Caenorhabditis elegans: one gene and its partners. The protein of the gene in region 2 purifies or fractionates together with the protein of the main gene of each other region. This does not show direct contact. Each region holds a gene or a part of one and is shown on either strand. Other genes may lie near its edges.

Region 1 (2,896 bases), on a different chromosome or scaffold from region 2:
GCAATTATTATGGCACAAGAAACAATAAAACATGTGAACAGATTAAAACGTATCAAAAATTAATCTCTATGCAAAATACTGGGTGCTAAAAGAAAGGTTTATAGTTTTTTTTTTTGTAATTTATATCATATTATCGATTTTTCAAAAGTTATAGGCTGCCAATAAAAAATTTTGAGAGAACTTTTGCGAAATTTAAAATTTGTGAAGTTTCTCACAAAAAAGTGAAGATCAAAACTTTGTCAAACAGATAATATGATTGCTAGATTTTGGGAACAAAGAATCAAATTATTCCTGCTCGAGTTCAATAAGTACACCTCCACAATCCTTTGGATGCAAGAACATTACTTCTTTTCCATGAGCTCCAATTTTTGGTTTCTCACCCAAAGTACGAATTCCTTTTGTTTTAACAGCAGAAACAGCTTCATGAATATCACGAACTTCAATACAAATATGATGCATTCCACCGTCCTTATTCTTATTCAAAAAAGCTTGAATTGGAGATTTCTCGCCGAATGGATGAAGAAGCTCGATTTTTGAGTTTGGAAGCTCAACGAAGACAGTGTAGACTCCATGTTCTGGTTGTGGCTGTAATTATTCAATTCAAAAATTTTAATATAAACTAGATGAGACATTTTATTTTTTATTTGCGGATTTTTATCATTTTTATGAAAAAACTTGTAATTAAATAAATATTTTTCAAGTAAGTTTACTGTAGTACACAAAATTCGCTTCATTCGCATTTTATTTCATTTTTCAGTTGTAGGGGTTTTTCCAAAATTTTTCGTTTTTTGTTATGCTATTTCAAAATTTTAGGCTATTCAATTTTTATTTTGATTTATGCTACAAAGAATTTAACAAAAATATTTTCTACATATTTTTGCTCTAAATTTTTATTGACATTAGGAAGAAACAAAAATTAAAGACTAACCACAGCCTCGCTAACTTTTGCTCCGAGGCCCTTGTAGAATTCCGATGATTTCTTGAGATCTGGTGTGGCAATGGCGACGTGGTTCAACTTTCCGAGAAGTCCTGCCAATGGATGGGAAGCCATGGTCTGAAAAGTCAAAATTTTTAAAGTAAAAAAGCGATTATCTAATAGTTTTCATCAGAAAAAATAGAAAAACCTACTCTTGTGGACAGCGAAAGCTTAGCAGAATTGACAAGGGCGAGTGTAGAACGGAAGGATGCCATTTTCAAAAGAAGAATCTATAAACATGGTTACTGTACTTTAATAAAATTTATAAAACTCGAAAAATGCTAAGTAATAAGCGTTTAAATGATTGAAACATCTGTGAGAAAATGAAAAGTAACAGAAACAAACAAAAGTTTAGATAAGAAAATGTTTTTGACATTGAAAATTCGGTCAATGAACCCGCTGTAAACTTGCTTTTTGCACGCACTCACTTTGATTACAACGACACTCCGATATTACACAAGTGCTTGTTGTTTATCTTATTTTATTTCGGGCAATTTTTGTGCCAATTTTCAGCTTTACTTTGTTTTTAACGTTTTAGAAGAATATTTTCCGGAAAAATATGTTAAATTATTAAAATATAAATTGTTCACTTCTTATCAGCAAAGCATTCGCTGCCCTAAGCATGCTAATTATTTATTTTGAGTTGATTCAAATATCAGAAGAGTTTTGATGCTTTCTTTATTTTGTACCAATTCCTTTTTTTTCAGCCAAGATGGGAACTAAACTGTCCGTCTCATTGGAAGGAGCCAGTACACCAGAAACCGCGCCACGTGTCGACAGACCACCAACTTTCGATCCTCAGTATGGATTCGAGCGACCGAGAAAGGTAAACAACTTTTTTAAAAGTTCATTAAATAACTGTTCATTTAATTCATAAATATTCAATATAATAAAGTTTAATATTCAAGGTCCGCGAGATGAAGGCTACTTGGGAAGAGATGGAGCAGTGGAAGTTGAAGCCAGCTCAACGCGATTATTGTGCTCACCACTTGATTTCACTCATGAAATGCCAAGTAAGATTTTTGTTTTAGTTACAATGATATATTTTTAAAATTATATAAAAATACACATCTAAAATTATTTTCTCAAAAACAGCAAAAATAATTTATTATATTCAGACCCAAAATGCACCATTTGCCGGACACGCGTGCGACGGAGAACGTGGAGCTTGGGATAAATGTGAATATGATGATCATATCATGAGAATCAAAGAATTCGAACGTGAACGACGATTGCTTCAAAGACAGGCTCGCAAAGAAGCCACTGCTTGAATAGATGTCGATGAGATATTTCTTTAAATGATTTTTGATAATAGTATAGTTTTTTGTGAATACTATGTGTCTTTTGTTTCGTTTCTTTTTCTCTCGATTTCGGATAAATATTGAGTCGTACACTTTTTTTTAATGTTGAAAATTTTTTTGTTGTTCGTATCATTTGTAATATATCTATGCTATAATGATTCCGATTAGTTTTCCATATTATAATTTAAAAACACCTTTCAGAGATGACCGAAATCCGAAAAGTCGTCCAAGAAACAATGGTTGGAAAACCAGAAGACGAAATTCAGGTTAGAAATTGTCAAATTTTTTTGAATTATCTAAAAACCTACATATTCTGTCATGGATCCATTCATCAAATAAGTTTCAGACTTTCGAAAAATGTCTCCGTCTCGTTGGATCCAATCGAACACGTAAAGAACAAGAACTAGGATTTTGTCTTATGTCGAGAATGATCATCAAATGTTCTTCACAAACTCTACGAGCAGTTCAATCGCGATTGGCTAATCGACTTGCTCATATCTCGGATCATTTTCAATTATGTGGATCACTTTATACTCGAGAACTTCTTGTTAGAAATCCGCAAGCTGGAGAACTTCATTCTCCAATTGTATTCAAGATTATTCTTAATTGCATGGATGCT
Region 2 (4,014 bases):
AGAAAATTTGAATTTTCCTCCAGTTTGTGATTATGTCTCAAAATGGACATGGCCAGTGGGATTCTTCTTGCCAAAGATCTACTATGTAGAAACATAAAACAGCGCTTCATATCTAGTAAAATGATGATACAAGATCATATATTTTTCAGAATGCCGATATGAGATTTCCAACGAACACTCGTTCGAAGTTCATAGTCAAGGTGAAATGGGTCCAGAAATAGAACGGAAGTCGCATTTAGCGTATCAAGTCGCTCGTTTCGAAGCAGTTGCTATGGGCTTCCCGGTGCAATATAGACAAGTTGTTGTCGAATTCTACTATCATGGCCGATTGGATGGATCATCGGGTACCCTGGCGACTGCGGTTGGGTTGTTGGCTCTCTTCACAGGAGTTGAGATATCACCCCGTTTTGCCATCACGGGTTCTCTTGATGTTTTCGGTTGGCCCCCATATTGTTGCCTTTTCTCCGTGAGTGGACGAGAAAAAGGCGGGGCCTAAATATGAGGTTTTCTGCAGTACACGCCACGCAGTTTTTTTTATTTTGAGTGTAGTTTGTTTACAAAAAAAAACTATAAAATTTTAAATTGTAGATTTAACTTCATCATAGGATAACGCTAAAGCTAATAAATTACGGGACACATGTTGAAATTTAAATCGAAAATCTAAAGTACGGGTTTGGATTAAAGGAACATTTTAGTTCTATGAGATTTGAGTCTAAAACAACCGATGATTGGTATATGAAAAGGGATTAGCAAAACTCGAAAAATACATTATAGCGAAGATTGGATGAAGTTGGGGACGAAAATCTTATGCAAAGTAAGAGTTGCTAGCGTAAAGTTGTTGATCCACGCCGACAGTGACAGCTCCCACTTGTTCACGAAGGAACAGGCGGTTTCCACGCTTGAGACCAATTGGGCGAAGGTAGTCCCATGCTCCATGCCAGTTGTTGAAGGATGGTGAATATGGGAGGAACGAAACGGCTAGTCCTGAAATAATCTTTTATTTTAAAAGATACTGTTATTCGCATGCTTACCTGATCCAGCAACAGCCATAACAGTGGATACAACACTGTATGGGTAGCCGAAGGAGTTGACGAGGAATGGAACAGCAGTATGGATGAACTTGTGAACATCCTTGGCAGCCTTGGCTTTCGTTTCGTCCTTATTCTTTGTGTCTCCAAATTCAATGCGGAGAATAGCTCTTTGAATTCCGTGAGTAATTAGATGAACTCCCCAAATGACGAGAAGCTCTCCAACGATCTGAGGAGCAAGTCCGCTGAAAAGTCCTCCTGGACCTTCCTGCTTTCCGATGACGGCCAGAGCCTGGGCGCAGGTAGTGTATTTAGTTTCATTGCCAATAACTTGAGCAACTTGACGAGCAAAGCAGACTGGAAGAGATTATTATACAGTTTAATCGCAAATAATTTAACTTACCAGCAAATGGTCGTGCAGCAGTAACAGCAACAACACGAATGACAGAATCGCGGAATCCGTTACGAATAACTCTTCGGAATGATTCAGCATCGGTGAGTTCATCCTCTTCTTTATCTTGATTTAAAAGAGGTCCTCCAATATTGGGGTAGTACTCGTCGATGTACTGTAAGATAATTTTTTACGGTTTTCAGGAACTTTCAATGAGAAAACTGTTTACCTGCTGAGTGCGGTGAGAAGCAATACCCTGAACAGCCAAAGCAGCGATAGCAGAGTCGATTCCAGTCCAAAGGGTGATATATCCACGAGTAGTTCCCAATTGCTTCACTAAATTTATGATCATTACCGAAGATTATTTTCGTGAATCCTACTATAGCTGAAGAAGTTAGGAAGGAAATACGCATTTCTTCCTGCAATGACGAGAGTCTTTCCTGTAGACAATGGGAACGGTTCATGACCAAGCTGGATAAGGGTACGTGTCACGGTCAAAGGAAGCGACAACGAGCTCAAAGCGAGCTTGGCAATAAGACTCTTGGCGAATTTCTCCTGTAAAACTGAATTTCAAATCTATTTCAATAAGACTAAACTCTCATCTTCTGGAGCAAGCCCAAGGAAAGCGTCTTGTTGATTTCCTTCAGCCATGATTCACTGAAAATAATTAATTTAATAACAAATGAAAATACAAACTAATATTTTGGGTTAACTATAGTTATATTCATAAAAAATAGCAATCAGACATTAAATGAGAAAAATCGAAGATAAAAAAAATGAGCGGATAAACAATAAACATTCGCCGCACAAAAAAGTGGGCGGAGACTGAAACGCAATGTGTGCGCACGTTATCTCACTCCTCTTTCTGTGTAAGAATTGCAGAATTTTTTGTCTTAAAAACAATTTTCTGATAGTTGAATAAATTTCCGTCAGTTTTATTGTTTTTCACTTAAATCTCACTGTCACTGATCTAAAAAATATTTTTAGAAAATGTCTTCCGGTGGAGGAAATCAAAAGTCAGATGGACAAGTCGAGGAAGATGCCGCTGAATGCAAATTTCCGAAAGGTATTGTTTTGTTTTTACTGAGTTTTTGAATTTGGTGATTTTTCCTAATCGGTATATTTTCAGAATTCGAAACAACAACATGCGACGCTCTTCTGACCGCTGAGGTTTACTTGCTTCTGGAGCATCGTCGTCAATCGAGTGAAAGCAAAGACGAAATTGAAGAGATGAGCGAGGTAGTCTCAAAACTATTTCAGTCGATTAAATTTATTGATTTATAATATCATTTTTATATTAAACGAATTCAGGTCTTCATCAAAACTCTCAACTACGCTCGCCGCATGTCTCGATTCAAAAATCGCGAAACTATCCGTGCAGTTCGAGCGATTTTCTCCGAGAAGCATCTTCACAAATTCGAAGTTGCGCAGATTGCCAATCTCTGCCCTGAAAATGCCGAAGAAGCCAAAGCACTAGTTCCTTCTTTGGAAAACAAAATCGAGGAGTCTGAACTAGAGGAAGTTCTCAAGGATCTGCAATCCAAAAGAACATTCCAATAAATACAAGCAAACTAATCCCATATTTATCTGTATTCTCAAGTTACTGTAATTGTCCTATGAGATCTCTCATAATGTGTTATTTGATACAATGAAATGAAATTTTGGAAATGTTTATTAATGTTTTTCAAATAATTTGTTCAATCGAAAATGAATACTGGTTTCATATTGTTTTTTTTTGTTGAAAAAATCACACTATTGAACCAGATGGTGCAGAAATTGAGCAGACCGTCTCCAGATTTTCTCAAAGGCCTTAAGAGCATTGTGAGTTTATTTTTCACATTATTTGTTAATGTACTAGAATTTTTCAGTTGCAAGGCGATCATCCTTCTCTCAAGCAGCTCGAACAAGATATAAATATATTTTATATGAATCAAAGACAGGTAGGATGGGAAACTGGTTAATTTTTACCAATTGTAGAGATTTCGCATGTTTATAATTTGAATCCAAATTTTCAGAGCCAATCAATGTTGGAGGAACGAAAGCTTTATGTGGCGTTGGTTCGAAAATACCTGAAATCCGAAGGAGTTACCAAACAACTCGCTTCGCAAGGAATCAAATTGCGTGGACTTAGCGTTTTTGGAAGTTTCCCGACGCACTGTGCCTCGAAAGACAGCGATCTTGATCTGTGTGTGTGTGCGACGGCAACAGGAAATAAAAAACAGTAAGTCGTTTTGCAGCCTTACTTTTGACGATTTATAATAACTTTTGCAGACTGCCGGTAATCATTCTTCAAGCCATTTTTCGAGACATGATGTACAGTAAGGAAGGGCAGAACATTTTTGGAGAGAATGTCGTCAGCGGAATTTCGTTTGTGCAAACGGCAAAGGTTCCGATCATCCGATTCAAAATCAACGATGTGCCAGTTGATTTGAGTGCAACATTCGATGATAATCCTCGAACAAGTCTCGCCGCAAAGTATATCAATGCTTACTGCCAGTAAGATTAATTTCTGGAAATAACACTTATTGAACTAATTTATTCAGACTCGATGATCGCTTCAAAATTCTCGTGATGTTTTTGAAAAAATGGATGAAA
Region 3 (3,244 bases), on a different chromosome or scaffold from region 2:
AAATCGCTCGAAAATTCAATTTTTCATTGGGTTTTCTAAAGTTAATTCTGTTTCGTATAAAATAATCAATTTTCCAATTTTTTCAGCGAAATTTCGAACCTTAAGCCTCTTCATTCCAGCTTGTCGATTTCCAGCCTCCAAATCATTAATTACACTGGTTTCCACATTTGTGATCAGAGTTTCAATTTCTCGATTCAAGAAAAACGACGATTTTTCCACTTTATTAATCCGCCAGTCGAGTCCTCGTTCGTTGCCAGTGAGCTTGTCGTGTTTCTTTAAAATCTTCCGAAATCCGGTAGCATTCAATTGCTGAAAGTTCTGAACCAGCACCAGAGAAAGATAAAACTCGGAGAATGCGAGTTTCAGCTGCTGCTCATTCCGTGTGGTCTCCTTATGGAATTTGTCTTTTCCTCCGAACCTTCTACGGATCCCTGTGGTATCGCTGCGAGACCCAAGAACATCCTTGAACACTTGTAGTTCGGTTTGAAGCTCGTGATGTTTTCCCTGTCCTTCAGCGATTTTTTGCGAGAAGAATAGGTTGATCTTGGTGAGCTCTTGGTCGCACTCGTTGAAAAATTTCTCGTCGAGCCGGGAAATGTGCTCTTCTCGGCGGTCATCGTCGGCGGGAACCTCCATCATATCATCGTATAATAGATTTTTGAGCCGCTCATAGTCAATGTATTGTTTCCGCCACTCGGGCGTCAAGTGGCTCGCTAGTTGCTCGCCGAACTTCATCTAAAATCGGGAAAATGGGAATAACTTACAACACGGCCATCGCCGGAGCCTAAATCAATGAGCGTTCCCTTCTTGTTGCTGTTGCTGCTCGTGGCGAGTGAAAGTGCGCGGGAGACGTTCGCGAGCTGCTCCGTCGTTGCTGGGACGTACGGAATGCAGACGCGTCGCAGAGCGGGCGCCACGAACGGAATTGCGGCCGCCGAGATGGCGAGCGCCGTTGCGCCAGCCACACCGGCAATCACCAGACCTGTGTTCATGCCCATACTGCAAAAAAACACAATCTCGAGGGGAACACTCATTGATTTAAATCATGATTTTTTATTTGTTTTAAAATTTATTATTTTTAAGTTTAAATTATCTTTATTTTTCAAAGGATTATTGTTTTTGAATATTTAAAATTAAAATTCATACCCACCTTTATTCTTCAATCGATTTTCTTCGGAATAAGATGAAGTTTCTCATCAACGATTCAAATTTTCTACCTGAAAACAGAAAAAAAATGTTTAAAACGATTTTCAGGCCTAAAACAGTGCAAAACACTGGAAATATATCGATTTACGCATAAATTGCACTCGACAGAATCAAAATTTAAATTCGTACTTTTCGCGAAAAAGAGATAGACAACGAAATTCGATAAGGGCACATGCGACTAAAAATCGGGAGCTCAGTGCACCGGAAGTGCGCAAGCAGTTGATGATTGCGCAAACGAGTGGCTACTGGCGCGTTTTCGGATGGGTCGGATTTATTTTCTGCAATTTCTGTGCGATTTTTATTAATTTTTTGCGTTTCCCACCGTATTTTCCAACCAAATTTCTGAATTTTTATATAAAATTGTCGTAATTTGCATGGTTCCGACGTTGAAAATCACCAAAACCCAGGTTAAAATTCGTTTTTTAAAAAGGGGGTTTACTTTATAAAGATATGCAATTTTGGAATTTCAGTTTTGCTAATTTTTCGTGGTTTCTTAGAGTTTTTCTATTGAAGATTGTTAAAGATCTTGTAAAGAAGATGTTAAGTCGGTAAACATTGCAAAACTTTTAATTTTCCTCAATTTTCGCTAATTTTTTGCGTTTCTTTATGATTTTTATTTTAAAATTAGGTTTTTCGGGTATCGATTTGTTAATTTTTTAGCTAAAAATATATTACATAAACAAAAGTTTCTTCAAACTTATATTTCTCTCTTATTCCGATTAAAAACTAAATTACCTTTCAACTTCCAGGTAAATATGTTGTCCAGAACACTCCGACCGATCTCCAAGGTGCTCAGAAGCAGCGCGAAGTACTCCCAGGCCGCAGGTAATCTGAAAATTAAGATTTTCCTCAAAATCATATCAAAATTTTCAGGTCTTCCATTAAACGAGGGAAGCCCGGCACCATTGCCATCAGAAGACAGAGCAATCTCCGCAAAAGTCAGCTCGTTGGTTGAAGAAATCGCGAATCTCAGCCTGCTCGACGTCTCCGATCTTAACTGGGCTCTCAAGAAGCGGCTCAACATTCCAGATCAACCATTGATGGCTGCTGCCGCTGCTGCTCCAGCCGCTCAGGGTAAACATTATTTATTATAGTTTAATAAAATTATTTATTTATTTTCATTATTTTTCAGCCGAAGCGGAAGCCGCATCAGACGTTCCACAAAAAATGACATTCACTGTGAAATTAACGAAATTCGATGATACCAAGAAGATCGCAATCATCAAGGAGATCCGTAACGCCATTCCAGGCCTCAATCTCGTTCAGGCCAAGAAGTTTGTGGAAACCGCACCGGTAAATGTTAAGGAGGATCTTGGAAAGGCAGAAGCCGATGAGTTGAAGGCTATTCTGGAGAAGGCTGGAGCTACCATTGAAATTGTTTAATTTTTTGTTCTATATTTCCCTCTTTTCATTTGTTGTGTTCTCATTTTCTTCAAATTTTTCGTAGATAGTGTAGCATTTCTTTTTGTTAAGTTTTATTTTATTTTATGGAAAAATAATTAATTTCAAAAATAATTAAATTTACACCCGGCAAGAAGAGAAATACACGTCCCATGATAGAAATACTATTGGATAGATTCTGGAGAAGCTGCTGGAGAAGATCAAAAATCGGTAGTCTCATTTGAAGAAGTGTCAAGACCTGCAATTTGGGAAAATTACCGGAAGCCTGTATGGGTACAAACCTCCGCGTCCGAATACTTTCAGCGACATTCCGAATTGAAGAACTCGCATATCCTTTTCGGATAATTGGCCGAACGAGATCGCGTGGTCGGAACATTTTCCGGCTTTTGTGGGACTTGAACGGAACAATTTCGAGTCTGGCGCAATTATTTGTTTTGGTGGAAGATCGTTGAATAGTCGGAGAGCATCTTCATCAAATGGATCAGCTATCTGGACACCGTACTTCTCGCTGCAGTCGTAGAGAGCGAAATCCGAGGCTCGCGAGAAGAAAAATCCTCTGAAAATCATGAAATCAAACATTTTTAGAATTTATTCGGGAGTTTTCCAGAAGTAATTCTCTGATTTTCGATTTTTTAGT

The links. The genes of interacting proteins can lie anywhere in the genome.
Region 1: the proteins of mtch-1 (region 2) and ndub-7 fractionate together in Caenorhabditis elegans (co-fractionation; one large-scale study listed by BioGRID). This does not show direct contact.
Region 3: the proteins of mtch-1 (region 2) and mrpl-12 fractionate together in Caenorhabditis elegans (co-fractionation; one large-scale study listed by BioGRID). This does not show direct contact.

Annotation. Positions count from the first base shown.
Region 1 is NC_003279.8:7,580,416-7,583,311, reverse strand, and holds ndub-7 (NADH dehydrogenase [ubiquinone] 1 beta subcomplex subunit 7), read left to right. Parts: upstream 1-1,683; 5' UTR 1,684-1,688; coding exon 1,689-1,802; intron 1,803-1,884; coding exon 1,885-1,989; intron 1,990-2,094; coding exon 2,095-2,247; 3' UTR 2,248-2,368; downstream 2,369-2,896. Other genes in the region: mce-1 (Methylmalonyl-CoA epimerase, mitochondrial), read right to left, coding at 286-585, 929-1,054, 1,129-1,191; D2030.3 (Fanconi anemia group I protein), read left to right, coding at 2,481-2,543, 2,624-2,896.
Region 2 is NC_003280.10:7,372,097-7,376,110, forward strand, and holds mtch-1 (Mitochondrial carrier), read right to left. Parts: upstream 2,071-4,014; coding exon 2,021-2,070; intron 1,976-2,020; coding exon 1,800-1,975; intron 1,756-1,799; coding exon 1,649-1,755; intron 1,595-1,648; coding exon 1,432-1,594; intron 1,386-1,431; coding exon 1,032-1,385; intron 985-1,031; coding exon 806-984; 3' UTR 519-805; downstream 1-518. Other genes in the region: rpb-4 (RNA polymerase Rpb4/RPC9 core domain-containing protein), read left to right, coding at 2,410-2,485, 2,549-2,658, 2,731-2,979; F43E2.1 (Poly(A) RNA polymerase mitochondrial-like central palm domain-containing protein), read left to right, coding at 3,184-3,240, 3,288-3,359, 3,435-3,640, 3,691-3,915, 3,963-4,014.
Region 3 is NC_003281.10:10,705,806-10,709,049, forward strand, and holds mrpl-12 (Mitochondrial Ribosomal Protein, Large), read left to right. Parts: upstream 1-1,955; 5' UTR 1,956-1,961; coding exon 1,962-2,031; intron 2,032-2,079; coding exon 2,080-2,280; intron 2,281-2,338; coding exon 2,339-2,589; 3' UTR 2,590-2,716; downstream 2,717-3,244. Other genes in the region: Y39A1A.21 (ATP synthase subunit C lysine N-methyltransferase), read right to left, coding at 765-998; Y39A1A.22 (Xenotropic and polytropic retrovirus receptor 1 homolog), read right to left, coding at 100-735; W09D10.5 (N-acetylgalactosaminide beta-1,3-galactosyltransferase), read right to left, coding at 2,808-2,845, 2,889-3,163.